Alligator mississippiensis: one gene and its partner. The protein of the gene in region 1 interacts with the protein of each later gene in a pairwise test. Links are inferred from orthologs where the notes say so. Each region holds a gene or a part of one and is shown in the gene's direction. Other genes may lie near its edges.

The links.
Region 2: the proteins of SIPA1L2 (region 1) and AP3M1 interact in binary tests that used the Homo sapiens proteins (3 or more experiments, as listed by UniProt). The two-hybrid records come from large-scale screens. The link is inferred for Alligator mississippiensis from reciprocal best matches to the Homo sapiens genes SIPA1L2 and AP3M1.

The regions. Positions count from the first base shown.
Region 1 is NC_081824.1:151,046,304-151,053,870, reverse strand, and holds the start of SIPA1L2 (signal-induced proliferation-associated 1-like protein 2), read left to right. Parts: upstream 1-4,325; 5' UTR 4,326-4,462; intron 4,463-7,567.
Region 2 is NC_081829.1:26,754,532-26,762,786, reverse strand, and holds the start of AP3M1 (AP-3 complex subunit mu-1), read left to right. Parts: upstream 1-4,673; 5' UTR 4,674-4,788; intron 4,789-5,928; 5' UTR 5,929-6,084; intron 6,085-8,255. Other genes in the region: ADK (adenosine kinase), read right to left, coding at 4,295-4,350. UniProt on the Homo sapiens protein: Part of the AP-3 complex, an adaptor-related complex which is not clathrin-associated. The complex is associated with the Golgi region as well as more peripheral structures.

The DNA.
Region 1 (7,567 bases):
GAAGTCAAAGGAAACTCAACCCCCTCCCATTTAATTTTGTCCTTTTCCAGTTACACTTTCCATTTTTAGGTTTTTGCTAGGACAGGGCATTTTCACCCTCTTTCTCTTCCTCCTCCTTGAATGGATCCTTGTTAATGCAAGCAGCTCCTGTTTACTTCTTCTCACTCCTTTCCTTTGTTGTTGTTCTCTTGACTCCCTGAGGGCATACAGATGGTAGCCTGGCAGACAAATGAGGTGATACTACATGAGAGAGGGAGAGGGAGAGAAAAAAAGGGTTTCCAGCAAGAGTCCAGATCTCAGATTGTTGTGACACCACAGCATTTACTGTATGACAACAGCTGTTTATTGGACCTTGACAAGTTGCAGGTAATGTGTAATTTTAGGAAAACAGCCTAAGCACAGCCAGTATACTGTATGCATCTTGTCATACCTGCTAATATACCATGCTCCTGCCATTTATCACATTCAGTCAGCTAACAAATATTTTTACCTGGTTGCACTGCTATATTAGGTATGCTTTTTAAAGGCGAAACTTCCCTCACTTTCACAGTACTAGCACAAGGCCCAGGGACCTCTCAAATCAAATTAAAGCCTTATTAAATAGACTTGAAATGGCATATTGACCTTGTACTTCTTCTCTGCAGAGCTTGAAGGTGGGTGAGGGGGGAAGGATTCACTTAACTTTAAGTGCAGGAAGGAGTTAATAGTAAGGCCATAAGGTGCATACTTGCAAGGATTTCATAACATGGCTATGAGGGATATAGGAATGCCCCTGAACTTATAGGAAACCTAGAACTTTCAACCAATTTTCCTTAGCATATTGTTCCTTTGAGAAGATAGGTGAAACAGTAAATATTGTGGGAAAAATTGTTCCGTATCCAATAAGCTTTATGAAATACATCTTATAAAAAGAACCCACCAAGCAGATGTCAAATGCTGTTTTTAGCTTAGAGGATGTAACGGTGCTGTTTGTTATGATATGTCAGCATATCGCTATATCAGATCCAAAATATTTCACATGTAAAATAGCCAAGCTTGTAAAACAACAGTTCAGCAACACTGGGATGTAGTAGGCAGGGGGAAAAAAATAAAACCAGTCACAGTAGGATGAGTCATTTAGCTAGACCAGTTAAGCAAAACAAAGCTAGAGAAAACTTAAAATCCTATAGGGAGATTGCCTGAATACAGTACTGTATTTCTAATACAGCTCAGCAATTGGTAGAGGACACCTAGTGGAGGTTTGTAGAAACAGCACATTCTTGGTCAAGGCTTGTCTAAATAGAGCTGCTCTTAACTTTCCTTGCTCCACGCAGCAGTCAATATATATATATATATATATGTGTGTGTGTGTGTGTGTGTGTGAGAGAGAGACAAAGACAGAGACAGAGACAGATAAGGTTAGACATCCAATGAAACACATTGCACCAGCCCTAGTGGAGAATGCAACTCTGAGACCTTTTAGCCTCTTGTTCTCAGCCTGGCAAGATCGTGGGAAACAAATTCTTGGTCAAATTGTGCTGTAGCTTGAGAACAAAATTTGCCAGAGAGCATTTTTCATGACTTAGTATTAATGTACATTTGTCAACCTGGGAGCAGTAATGACGGGATGTCGAGAGCTTTCAGTCCTGAGACAAAACGACCAACAAGTGGTAAATCTGAGTGGGGGAGGGGGACGGGGAAGGGGAGCAAATAAGAGAAGGAAAGCTGGAAAGGGATTGAGGGAACTCCTTGAGGGGATATTAAGACGGACTGAAAAAAAGTCTTTTTTTGGTGCCATAACTTCCCCTTCGATCAGGAAACTGAGTGACAGCAAGAGCCACAAGGAACAAGAACTGAATAACTGTTATAAAGAGCTTAAAGTCTAGAGAGGCACTTGGTTTCCAGAGTGAGACTCAGAGGTATAAGTAGCCAAAACACTACAGTAATGAGACTATGGGCTAGAATGAAATTACAGCAAATGCTGCAGACTGAGCTTTGTCTTTCATTTAAATCTATCTTAATTCTCTGGGTTGAGAATTGTTTCTCTTGATGTGAGATTTCCTGGGTTAGCCAGGGTTTTAGAGGAATTATACTTCCAAGAAAGACAATGTTTATCAAATGGTCATAATGGAAAACCTTGTTGTTTCACTTGCTGGTTTTTTTATCTGAGTTTCTTTGTTCCTTTTTCTTGTTTTGATAGACAAACCTTCCGTTGCTTAAGCCGCAATAGTCACTTTGGCTAAAAATAATAATATTAAAAAAGGAATCCAAATACTAAGTAATTTATATACCATTTGTCAGTGCTTGGGAGTAAATCGTGCATGTGTGTTTTTCCCCTCTGTTCACATGCTTTCTGTGTTCAATCTACTGAATGAGAGGCTAGGGATATATTTCTGATATTAAAATAATCTAAAAGGGATGATGAAGGCTAGCAAACTGCAATATGAGCTACCATGTGTCTTTTGAATGATGGGAGTATGTGTGTTATTTTTTCTTCACTATTCCCTTTTGCTCTGTTCCTATAGGAAGGGTAGACAGTAAAGTGAACTTTACAAGACAGCAGGATACTTGTAAATGTTAACATGCTGCCTTCTTGCAAGGCCTGAGACTGGTACAACCAGAAAGTTACATACACGGAGACAGGAAAAAAGGTAGCACAGTGGGTTTGCTTTTGTGTGTTGGGGATTTTTTTGGTTGGTTGGTTGGTTGTTTTTTGTTTAAAAGATGTTGCAAGCCTCCTTGTTGTTTCAAGTGGCTGATGAGAAAATATCTTAGCAAGGATCTTGATGAAAGTTAACCTCATACTTATTTTGGAACCTCATCTTGGGAAGGTTGGCCTCATGATGGCATGTTTGGCATTTTGTCTTAACTGATCCTGATAATAAAAGTGGGGAAATTCAGGGTGGTGACCTTGTCAAAGCGAAAAACAGATGTTGATTGAATCAGCTATTACACCTGACTGATGCTTGTGGAGGTGGATGAAGTTTGGATGCATGGTAGTATTCGTGAAGCAAAAACACTTTCCTCTGCGCTCTTCAAAACAGAGGATAAAGACCATTTCAGGCCCCAACCAGGTGACAGTGTAAGAGTGACACATTCTGCACTTTGGGAGAACAGTTTTGCATGCATTTGTTATACTAGAAATAGCTTTATTGTTCTGAAAAAAAGGGTGCAAATCTAATATATGACATGGACTACAGACCAGCACCAAAAAGCAAAACATTTTCCAACAACACAGTCTGGGGTTGTCACAGCTCCTTACTCCCCACAAATGTCACTTCCACTTGCATATGCATGTCATTCATGGGTGCTTTTTTTTTTTAACTGAGTCTTTGAAGTACCACCAGTTCTTATTCCTGGCTATCTATAATTGCTGCTCTCCTGTGGGGCTCACAGAAGAAATGGGACTTTCCAAGGTATCTGAATGAGACCAGGGTGGGTATCTGGGACTGGAAGGTCATTCAGTGCCTTATGGCACAGAAAACTGGAATAGGAGGCCATGGCATGGATATGGGAGGAGGGTGGAAGGGACAAGAAGCAGCCACATAGGAGACCCGAGAGGTGGGCTTGGGCAGAGTTGTCCGGGGTCTTTAAGGAGAGGCCAATTGAGATTGCAGCATCAAGTGCCCAACAGATTCCCTTTGGCTTCTGGTGCAGGTACAAATCCTTGAAAATTAGGGTTAGAAAGGACCGCAGGAGCTCATCTAGTCCAACCCCCTGCTCAAAGCAGGACCATCCCCAGGTAGCTCACCCCAGCCAAGGCTTTGTCTAGCTGGGTCTTAAAAACCTCCAAGGATGGAGAGTCCACAACATCTCTGGGTAACCTGTTCCAGTGTTTTACTGCCCTCCTAGTGAGAAAATTTTTCCTAACATCTAACCTAAACTCCCCTTGCCACAACTGGAGACCATTGCTCCCTGTTCTGCCATCCACCACCACTGAGAACAGCCCAGCTCCATCCTCTTTCAAACCCCTCTTCATGGATTTGAAGGCTACTATTAAATTCCCCCCTCAGTCTCCTCTTTGGCAGACTAAATAAGCCCAGTTCCCTCAGCCTCTCCTCAGAAGCCCTGCCCCCAGCCCCCTCAACATATTCACTGCTCCCCCCCCCCCGGAGTCCTCCTGGGCCTTGCCCATCTACATCCCAGCACCCTCCTGCCTAGGTCCCCCCAACAAGACCCCCCCCCCCACATCATGCCACAAGGGCGGGGCCAGGGGCAGGTGGGCGTGGTTTCGCCGCTGGGAAGTGGCAGCGCTGGCGTCCAATGGCGAGTGAGGAAATTGCCGAGGGCGGGGAGAGAGTGTGGGGGCGGGGCCAGAGGGAGGGGCTGGAGCGCGCGTGTTGGGGAGACAGGCAGAGAGTGCGAGACAGAGGGCGAGTAAACGCGCGGCGGCAGGTCCCGCTGCCCCCTCCCTCCTGGCGCCGGGCAGCAGCGGGAGCAGCAGCGGGAGACGCGGGCCGGGGTGATGGGCGGCGCGCGGCAGGTAAAGTCCGCGGCGGCTCCGGCTGCGCCAGTGCGTGGGGAGCGGGTTGCACGGGTGGACCCCAGTGCATGGGGACTTGCAAAGGGAGAGCCGAGTGCATTGGGGAGGGGAGGAGTTGTAAGGGACGACCTTAGTGCGTGGGGGTTGCAGCGTCCCGGGCCGGGGGAACCTGTCTCGGCGGCGGGGGGCAGGTGGCAGCCGGCGCCCTGCGCGGGGATGCTTCTCTCGGCACGGCGGCGGGTGGGAGCCGGCGCGGGGTAGCACCTCCAGGTGCGCGGGCCGCTGGCGCCGCTCCGCCAACTTTCTGTCCTTCCCCGAGCAGGGCCGGGGCGGGGGTGCCGGGGGCTTCCCCGCGCCGCGGGGCTGGGGCCGGGGCTGCGAGGGGGCAGCGCGGTGCGGGAGCCCGGCAAAGTTGGGAGGAGGAGGAGGAGGAGGGGGATGGCTTATGTAAACCCCCCGCCCGCCTCTTTCTTCCCTCTTTTGTGTGCGCCTTCACTTCTGCAGCTCGTCGCTAGATGGCCGGCTTGGCCCAGGCATGGGCGCTGCCCGCGGGCTGCACGTCCTTGCCCGCCTCTGCCCCTCTCTTCTCCCCTCGCCGAGCTCCAGCTGCCTCCGCACGGGCCCGGCAGGACTTCCCAGCCGGCTCGGGAAGTCCTTTTTTTCACTTGTTGCTTGCCGCTTCCCGCTGCTTCTCTCTCTCCATCCTGGTGTCCTGCCTGCTCTGGCCAGTCTAGGGAGCCTGGCTTTTTTTCCTTTTTTTTTTTGAGTCTGCATCTCCAATTGCCGGGCAGCGTTTGGATAGAGAAACGTCTGTGGAGATCTGTGCAGACTCTAGAAATCCAAGGATGCCCTTCATGGCGAGCATTGTGGCAGTAAGGGAAGTTTGAGGTTGGATCTGAGGGGAAAAAAACTTTCTCATGAGGAGGGTGGTGAAGCACTGGAGCAGGTCACCTGGAGCAGCAGCTCTCAACCTTTTGTTTTTTCCCCCTGCCCACTTGTAAACATTGAGGGCCGGTCTCCCCCCAGTGCCCCTCACTCATGAAGGTCCCAGCCTGCCCTCCCCCCCAAGTAGCCCCTCTCAGGCTGGGACTCTTGCAGCATGCAAGGGCAGTGCTTCAGTTTCCCAAATATTTTTGTCCTCTAAAGGAGAATCCATTTTTTAAGTTTGTTCATGGCCCTTTCATATATTCTTAGAACCCATTTTTGGCTTGCACGGGTTGAGAAACTGACCCAGAGAGGCTGTGGAATCTCCATCCTTGGAGGTTTTTAAGACCAGGTAGACAAAGCCTTGGCTGGGATGATCTAGCTGGGAATGGTCCTGCTTGGAGCAGGGGTTGGGCTTAGATGACCTCAGAGGTCCCCTCCAACCCTCATTTTCTATGATTTTATGGTATAAGGACAGGTATCTTCCACTTGGAAACAATGCCATCGAAGTTACCCCTTTGTCTGATAGTTTGATGGTGTTTTTAAAAAAATCATGCTGTTTATTCATTTAACCTTTTTCTACAGCAGGGCATTGGCAGCTGTGGCTCCCTTGAGTTACCTGTGGCAGGTTAGGGCGTTGTTAGGTCTGTGTTGTGTCCAGGGTGATGGGAGTCTTATGCAGAGTTCAGATGATAGATGTTTTGGATAGGGATGATCCTGCCTCAGGCAGGGGGTTGGACTAGGTGCCATCTGGAGGTCCCTTCCAGCCCAACTTCTCTCTGATTCTGTCCTGAATTTCTGTTCCCCCCCAATCTTTTTTTTTATTAAGTGGTAGGGTGGGTTAAGAAACTGCTGTCATTATGCAGTTCAATATTAAAACCTGGTTTTGGTCAAAGGAAGATCATCCTCAGTTTTGTTTGGAATGAACAAGTGCGACATGATGTTTTCTCCAAAGACTGCTGGGTAGACAGATTTCAGCTTCAGATTCTTCTAACCGGGACCTCCTGAGCATATATTGATGACATTTCATAAAGGCTGGACATTGGGACCTTTGTCTGTGGCAGGTTAGGACATTGGGTCTGTTTTGTGTTGACAGTAGTCTTTTGTAGAGTTTATATTATGCATTGTATGTTCTTTAGCAATCCCTCATAGTCAGGGATGATGGTCTTCCATGATCGTTTTATCTCTGTGGTCGAAGATGGCTGATGGAGTTCATCCAGGATTGACAGACTAATGCAGCTCGTATATGTGTTTCCATGTGGGGTGGGTGGTACTGGATTTTTTTATTTGTCCATGACACATTGTTTCTGTTGGTCCTACTTTTCCGTTTCCTGTTGTCATGCAATTTCAAAGTACTGCGATCCCTGCAGCAGACTCATCCTCCATTTGGGGCAGTTCTGGGTGATTAGTCTCCCAGGAGTTGATGTTGATATTACATGGATTGTAGAGGATGGTTTAGATAGAGATGATCCTGCCTCAGGCAGGGGGTTGAACTAGATGCCCTCTGGCGGTCCCTTTTAGCCTAACTTAGCTCTGATTCTAAATTCTGCAGTTATTAGATTCGCGTTATACTTTTAGTTCTGTCATGACACTTTTCTGATTGAATTTAAGGCACAGAGCATCAGACTTGCTAGGCTGATCCTAGGCCCAGTCTTACTTTTTGTTTAATGTGCTCAAAACTTAGTGGCACGCAGGAATAGACCCCATATTTGCAGACTGTCTTTAGAAGATTTGGCTTTTAGAATCCCGCTTTGAAATGGGTTTTATTATTTATGCAAAAGATGTTTAAGTTGTCGAGGATTGTAATGCATTATGGATATTTGAACATCACTGAGGTTCCACAACAGTTGATTCATAATGTATGTAGTGTTCATATAAAACAAGATCACAGAAAGGTCTCTGAATCCATTGTCTTGGTTTTGCACAATCAGTACATTGTCTTTACAGTTCATGAGGCTCTTGGATATAATATGAAGGAATATCTACTTGTTAGGGTGGAACACCATTTAATCAGTGACATTTTGATCAATGATGGAGCACAGCATTCTCTTATACCCGAAGTATAACATAAAACCTAGAATTAAGCTTAAACAGAAACAGAATCCCTCATAACTGGTATTCACATACCACACCTATGTTAGGGTGTTTTTAAAATGTTTCTATCCAAGGAGAATCAGTATT
Region 2 (8,255 bases), on another chromosome or scaffold:
GCTTAACTGGAGAAAACAATATTGCACTTCGTACTTTTAATGATAAGCATCTCCTGCCAAATGTAATGCTTTCGCATTCTCCATGTGGACAAATCAATTTGCTCAGAAAACAAATCATGAACAGACATCATGATCATCCAATCAATTCAGGAGCTGTTGAGCCACCAGAGGAGCATAATAATGTAACAGAGATTACTATAAAACAGAAAAAGGTTGGAATTTACACCTAAAATTTAAGCCAATATTATAACAAGGTTGGAGGAGGATTAAATTTCCTGCCACTCCACCACCAGCAGAGCTCAATTATGCTGTAACAAGGTTACCTGGTACATTGTATCCATTGTGTGGGTAAAATCTTACAAAATCATCTTTGGAGAGTTTATCAGTTGTTACAGGCATATAGGAATAGCTTCTTTAAAAAAAAAAAAAAGAAAGAAAAAAAAAGAAGAACTTTATTAATGAAGCATGGGGTTACAAGCAGATAAATGTACCTGCTTCCATGTTTATTTCTCTCTAAATATGTATATACTGCTTAAGCTGAATGAAATGCAGTTTGGTTTGGGCTATGTAAGCTTGAGGTTGATTTTCCAGCCTTTCCTTGTTTTAACAGCATATTTAAAGAGTGTTGACATTAACTGTAGCTTTTCTAACACAAGTTTATATTTTTACTTATAATTTGTTTTTTGTTGGGTTGGTTTTTTGGGGGTTTTTGCTGTACAGCTATATTTTTCCTCTTCTATTATCTGCAACTGTCCTTGCAACTATTATTAGACTTGAAAAAGTCACTCAGCTGCCAAGAAACAAGTTACTGATATATGCTGCCTTCTGTTTTTACACTAATGTCACAAATTGCTTCCATAGGAATAGCTAATTCAGCAGAGCCAAGACTATGTAAAGCCACTATTCTCATGATACTGTTTGAGCTCCTGTGCCTGACACTAAATTTTTCAATCAATTAATAATTACCACTGGATCCGGCCATTTCAATTTCAAGTCATTTTAATTGATTTAATTGATGACAGTTGTATCTACCCAATATTTATTGCCAAATCTAATACAAAAGTCCTGAAAATACATCTAGGCAATTCATGCTCTTGTTTTGCATATGCTTTGGGCTACCTCTTATTTAAGTTAAATAACAAAAAAAACCCAAGTTCCAGTTTTAGTGTAGTGCTAATCAGGAGACTCCTCAATGCAGTAGTGTTCCTTTTATAGCAATGAATTATGAATGATTAATTATTAATGTTAGCAACACTCTAAAATATGTAAAGTGCTCTAAAACAAACTTCCTTGGGTGAATTTGATATCTTTTATTAGACCAACCCAAATGGTTGGAGAATAGTTATTAAGCAAGCTTTCGGGTTCAAAAACCCTTCGTCAGGCTAAGGACGCTGCAGCAGATGCAACAACAAACTTTGCATGCGTTAATTAATTATCTAATTAATTAATTAGATTAACTTACTCTAGCATCCTGGCTAAATGAGAAAAGATAAGAAGTGTCTACTAGTTATTTCATTTGTTTTTACTTCATATTTTTAAACACCCAGAGAAAACAAATATTATTTAATGATCAAAATATCTAATACAAACAAATTAGAATAAGAATTCAAAGGTAGATTTGCTCTTAACACTACAAGCCAGATATGCAGGGCAGAATCGCAGTCAGAAACTTAAATATCTTAAGTAAATCTTGGAAATCATCAGCCCCACCTTGCCCTACAACTGTTAGCAGCCTCCATCCCCTGCTCCTGTCTCAAACATGCTTTCTACCATCCTGTTTCTTATGCATGAGGATAACTCTCTATCATAATTTGCAGGCAAGGTTCTTTGAGTAGATGTGATATCTTTTATTAGACCAATTAAGCAGTTGGACAAAAGTTCTCAGCAAGCTTTTGGGTTCAATCACCCTTCTTACAACCAAAAAAAAAAAAAACAGCTATCATCATTTGCAAACTTGTCACATTATCTGTTTTAAATCTTTCTTGAATACTTCTCTTTTTCTGCCATGCCTACAAAATCACTCCCATCTGGCATTGGTTAAGGAAATGTCCAGATGAGACTTCTATTCTGATAATGTTATCAGCTTCATTCCTGCATTATTCACCCATCTCCAACGTGTTTACTTGCTCTGTCCATTTTTCATCCTATCTAACACAGGGAAGTTTGCTAGTGGCTTCAGCCAGGCCATAATTTCACTCCTAGAGTGAATAAAGACCATTTTCCTAGTTACTTATCTGCACAGTAATCTGTACAATAATGGATTTCAGTCTTGACTTGGGTTTCTGGAGGCTACTATAATAAAATAATAACACAAAAGGGGTATGGATATCAGCTACATGCATATATATAAGAATCACAGAATCATAGGAAATTGGGGTTGGAAGGGAGGTCCTCAGGAGGTCATCTAGTCCAAACCCCTGCTCACAGCAGGTCCATCAACAACTACCTCATCCCAGCCAAGGTTTTGTCTGGCTAGGTCTTAAAAACCTCTAAGAATGGAGATTCCACAACCTCTCTGGGTAGCCTGTTCCAGTGCTTTACTACCCTCCTAAACTTCCCTTGCTGCAAGTTGAAACCACTGCACCTTGTTCTGTCATCTGCCAGCACTGAGAACAGTCCATCTCCACCCTCTTTGGAACCACCATTCAGGTAGTTGAAGGCTGCTATTTTATCCCCTCTCAGTCTCCTCTTCTCTTGATTAAATAAGCCCAATTCCCTCAGCCTCTCCTTGTAAGTCATGTGTCCCAGCCCCCTAACTATTTTTGTTACCCTCCACTGGACTTTATCCACAAATTATTTCCAATTTATTCACATCTTTTCTGTAGTGGGGTCTCAAAACTGGACACAATACTCCAGATGTGACCTCACCAATGCTGAATAGAGGAAAATACATCTATACATATATATATCTGTCTACAGCAGGGGCAGGCAACTATTTCAGGCAGAGGGCCGCTTACTGAATTTTGGCAAGCCATTGAGGGCTGCATGACAGGCAGCCAGGGGCAGATAAATACTAATTTTCTAAATTTTTTAGGGGCCCCATGGGCCAGATAGAATGGCCTGGCAGGCTGTATCCAGCCTGCAGGCCGCATTTTGCCCACCCCTAGTCTACGGGGTTCAAATTAAATTTCAACTCTGGGGAGGGGGTGGGGGAGGGCGGAGGGGAGAATCTGAAAAAATAACAGAAATTAAACCAGTTCATTGATTAACAAGTCCATCTAAGTGAAGGAGCAATCTGATCAAGTTATGATCTTCGAATCTTACAGGGGAGCTCTTGTCTCTTATGGGTGGGCTCAGCCCTGCCCCAAACTCCCCCTTAATTTGCACCCTGTCTATCAATATCTATCTATTATTATCTATATCTATCTATTACATTAAAGAAACAGATTCCCACAATGCAATTTGCCCTAAAACATATTCATAATAAGGTAGTGTAAGAGTGATGATGTAGCTATGATGGTTCAGCAATTATGTGAGAGAGAAGGATTTCTTAGGGTGATATTTTTTATTGAACAAACTGTGTGGTAGGATCAGAGGTTTCCCAGGCTAGAACCTTGTCTGGTTTTGCATTTTTCCTATCTGACAGAAGGAGTCTGGCTAATGGCTTCACCTAGGTCATGTCTAGCATGGGAAAGCTTGTCTGACTCTACTGGATAGTTGGTCCAATAAAAAAATACCTCCCTAAGAAGTCATTGCCTCTCAGATAAGAAGTTCATAGTTACATCTAGGGCCTCTCAATCCAGGTTCCCTAGAAGCACTGTGCAAACAGTGAGTCGAAGGGCTCCCCGAAGGCTTGGGGAAGGCAGCATCGTTTGAAACCCAGTTGTAGCGTGAACGGAGATGCCCAGCTCTGGGCTTGTGCCAGCCATGCTGGGCACCCCAGAAGTGACGCTCTCCTAGCTGGCAGCAGCAGCTGCGCACAGATCCGTTGTGCAGGCTAGTGCTTGTCTTCTCCTCTGCAGCCCTTGAGGGAAAAGCTGTTTTTTGGGGGGCCTGGGTGCTCTTTGATCTGCTCTTTTGGCCCCGTCTTTTCTCTGCCCCCCACTTTGATGGACCTGAGCAGATGCACGGGCTTAGGTCTGTGGGCACTTGAGCCTCAGCAGGCATCACTGAGGAACGCGAATCATCCACACCCACGTGCAGCCAGGCTACGCGTGGCAGAGGCAGCGCCCGAGATCCGCTGCCGCCGCAACCGCGTGGGCTCGGAGCCCCTGCAAGCAGCGACCGCCCGCCCGCCCGCCGGCAGCGAGCCGCTCGCGTTTGCCCAGGGCACGTGCGCCCGCCCCCGCGTTACCTCAGCCGCTCGTGCTCCCGCTTCGGCTTCTTGGCTCGCGGCTCGCCTGCTGCCATCTCCGCACCCGCGTGCGGCAGCCCCGGCTCGGCGCGATCTCCCCTCAGGCAGCAGCGGGGCAGAGTCGGCTACGCAAAGCGCCTGATCCGGGCCGGGCCGGGGGCGGGACGCTGCCGCACACGTGCGAGAGGCCTCCCACCGCCCCGCGGGCAGCACGGCTCCAGGGGCCGCCTAAGGCCGAGCACCCCGCGCCCTCACGCAGTCCGCGGAAGCCGGCGGCAGGGCACGCGTTTGCTGCAGGCAGTCACATAGTCACCTGCGCCGGCCGGGGAGGAGGTGCGGGGTGGGGGCCTCGGAGCCATATTTGCCAGCGCTGCGGGGGGAGCGGGAGCGGAGCCGGGTCGGGCCGGGCAGGGCTAGTGCGGGCTCCGGCGCAGGTGAACGGGGTCGCGCGGGGAGAGCCGGGGCCTGGAAAAGGAAGGGTGTTTTTTTTTCTGGTAGGTGTTGAAAGCTGATGCTTCTGGAAATGACCTCCCTTTGTCCTGCCCGTGTTGCTCTGAGCCTGGAAGTCCCGGCCTGGCTCGTCACAATTTATTACTTCATTAGTTAATGTTCTTGGAGGCTATAAAACGCTCAGGGTGGCTGTGCTTTACTGCAGGGTTTTGGCCGTCTCCGGACAGAGGAGCGTGTGCTCGGGATAACCATCTGGGAAGTAGCAGGGAAAATTAACAAGGGCATTTTATGTTTTCTGTTTATAGACGTCTGCCGCATTATGCGCTTTCGTTTTGGCTGGGAAACCTTCCCTTTGTCCCTTTTGACTTAAAAATGTTTCCAGCTGGCAGCCTAGACTTGGTTTCATGAAGGAATTTGACATTGAAAAAAATATTGCATCTTAGTAATGATGTGGTTGAGAGTTAAGGGGTGTATCTAGCTGGTTTTCTTGGTCATGGTGTGAAAACACTACTTATTTATTAACTGGGTTGGTCCGGGTTTGTTTCTTAATGGAGTCTTTTACTGCCGTTGGCTTAAAGTTAAATACGGAAAGCCTCTTGTGCTGTAGGAGAAAACAAGAGACTGCTGTGTTAATGCTTCCTGTCTCTTGCAGTTTTACAGTTGTGTGAACCCCTATCCACATCAGATTTATTTGAGATGTTTAATGGTAAAGCCTCAGCATTATGACTAAGTTCAAATGTGCAATGTTTAACTTTAAAAATATTAAAGCAAGAGACTCTACATATAAAAAAAAAATAGCCTTAACTTTCTGATTATGTGTAAGTAGAACATTTTAAGTATGGAAATTGAGGCTCTGATGTTGAATTCAGACATAAGAGAATGCCTGAATTGTTGGGGATCGTAGTGCATTTCAGTGTGAACTGAGACTTAAAGGTTTTTAGGTGTCTAGAGCCTTTTGCAATTGATAGGAGTAAGATGCTTACAAAAATTTTGAGACTTTAGGCCTGGATGTCTGAAAGTTCATTTGAAGAGTATTCTTCAATTGGTGGATCTGCTGTAGTTGTCTAAACCAGGGGTGGGCAATTATTTCGGGCGGAGGACTGCTTACTGAGTTTTAGCAAGCCATCAAGGGCCGCATGACAGGCAGCCACGGCAGATAAATATTAATTTTCTAAATTTTTTAGGGGCCTCGCAGGCCAGATGGATGCGACCTGCCAGGCCATTCTAGTCCATGTTTTGCCCACCCCTGGTCTAAACCGTGTGAAATGGGAAAACCAGACTTCTATGCAAAAACTTAAACTACAATTTTGGTAATAGCAAGTTGTTTCATAGTAATTCAGGTAAGAACTTCCTTATCTTTTATTAAGTATTTTTTTTTTTATCATCCCCATATGGATTTCACAGGAGCAAGATGGCCCATGGTATCTAGATGGCAAGGAAAGGCCTTTTTTTTCCTAATTTGCAAACACTTAAGGTGCCAGCTTTTCTAGAGACCACTAAATGCATACCCCTTGCCTTTTAAGTCTAAGTTTCATGTAGCCTGTGATGTGGGAACATAAAGTAAACTAAATCTGTTGCCTGCTATGTCTTTAGAATTCTTGGCTTTGTGTTTTGGCATGTTAACAAACCAAGGAACCATATCTCCCTTGTTAACACTCGGGTTGTTTCTCTGAAGGCTTGTCTGTTAGGAACAGGGAGAAGCAACATCAAGGAGAACCCAACTTTGAGCTACCCAGCAGCAGCGCAGTTCCCTACTGGCTGGAAGCTATACCCTCAGTGCAGCCAGGAAACAAGGGGCTAGGGAGGAGTGACAGCAGCAGCATGAATGCAGTTCCCAGCTGGAAGCTGTGCTTGTGCCCTAACCAGGGAGTCAGGGGTTAGGAAGAGTGGTGTTAGTGTCGGCTCCCAGCTGCCTGACCCAGTCATAGGCACAGGCAAATCCCCCTTGCTGCTGATGTGCCACCAAAGCCACCCAGTGCATGCTGGACTTGAGATGAGTTGTTCTGGCCTGTGGCTTTAAAAAGTTCCTAGCCCCTGGTTTATGGGGTACAGTGCTCCTCTGGGCAAAGGGATTCTAGGTTCCAGTCCCTATTCCCAAGGTTATTGGCTTGTTGTTATTATTATTTAACAATGATATTTGCATGGGAACTGCAGGAAGAGTCCTGGGTGCTGGGATCAACCCAGGTTTTCCTTCCATTAGTGAAGCGGTGTAACCACTAGTGTACAGTGCCAGTCTCTCTCTTGTTCTCTTTCTGGCCTCATATCTCCTGTGATGGATGCCCAGTGGAGAGGAGGAGGAAGAGAATGTTTTACCCAGCTTATCCTTTAGTGTGGCAGAATATTCTCCTAAGAAGGGGATTTGAATCCCCCAGGGGACCTAAAATTCAGGGTTCCTGATTGCGGTGCAAGTACTGTGATATGTTGCGTTTAAAAAAAATGTTGGCTGTTGTAGCCCAATGTTTTTGAGCTAAGTATGAGTTAAGCATGCTCTGAGCACATATAATGCATCTTTGGGGATGAGTTCATCCTTGCATACCCCATAATGCTAAATGCCTCACATTTGGCTATGCTCAGAAGGTAAGTGCAGAACCTTGTAATTTTGCAGTCCAAAATGGAAGCATGGTTTGAACTTGGACATCTTCTGAGGTTTTGGAGCTTGTAGAGCAGGGCCAAACTTAATTACTGTTTGAAACTTGGCCAGTTAAATTATACCAAAATCTTGTTTAGACTCCTGCAGGACCATACTGGATCTTGACTCACCTGGCAGGTTTGAAGCAGAGCCAGGAGTGGAACCCACATCTCCTGAATTTCTACCTAGTGCCTTAGCTACAAAACCATCTCTCTCTGTTGTGCTTTCACGTGCAGCTTTGTTTATCTCAGCAGGCACCTGCATTGTTGCAAGTTGCTGGCATGCAATATAGCATCTTGCACATTGCCTGTGTATACTGCTCTCTGCCTTCTTTTATAACCATAGTTGTAACTTTTCAGTACATTCTAGGTAATGATTAGTAACAGTGTAAAGTGGCATCATACCTTTAATAGTAATATATCTGTTTAAGGGTTTACAGTCATTGGGCATCTAATTAAACACTGTCTGTAATAATGTAATAGATGTTATTTACCTTTGATAGTATGCCTGTTCCTGTGTCCTCTTATCAGCTCTGAAAGGAGTTGGAGATTGTAATGTTTTTCCATATTGTTACATGAAAGAGTTTAAGCAAACAACAGTAATACAAATACAGTACAACTGATTAATCCAAACTGATTAATCAAAGAGCTGTCCAGTGCACTAAGGAAATAAATTGTTTATAGGGGAAATAATTTGTCTATCAGTTGTAATTCAGAGGTATTAATTGTAGAAAACAGCTTTAAAAAAGTGGATGTTAATAACTTGGGGTGAATGGTGTCCCTTTCTTATTACTGAGTCATTTATGTATGTGGACAGGAAAATTGGACTCTTCAAGTTCAGCAAGGCATTTGCATGACTAAATGTCCCTTTGTAAGATTCAGA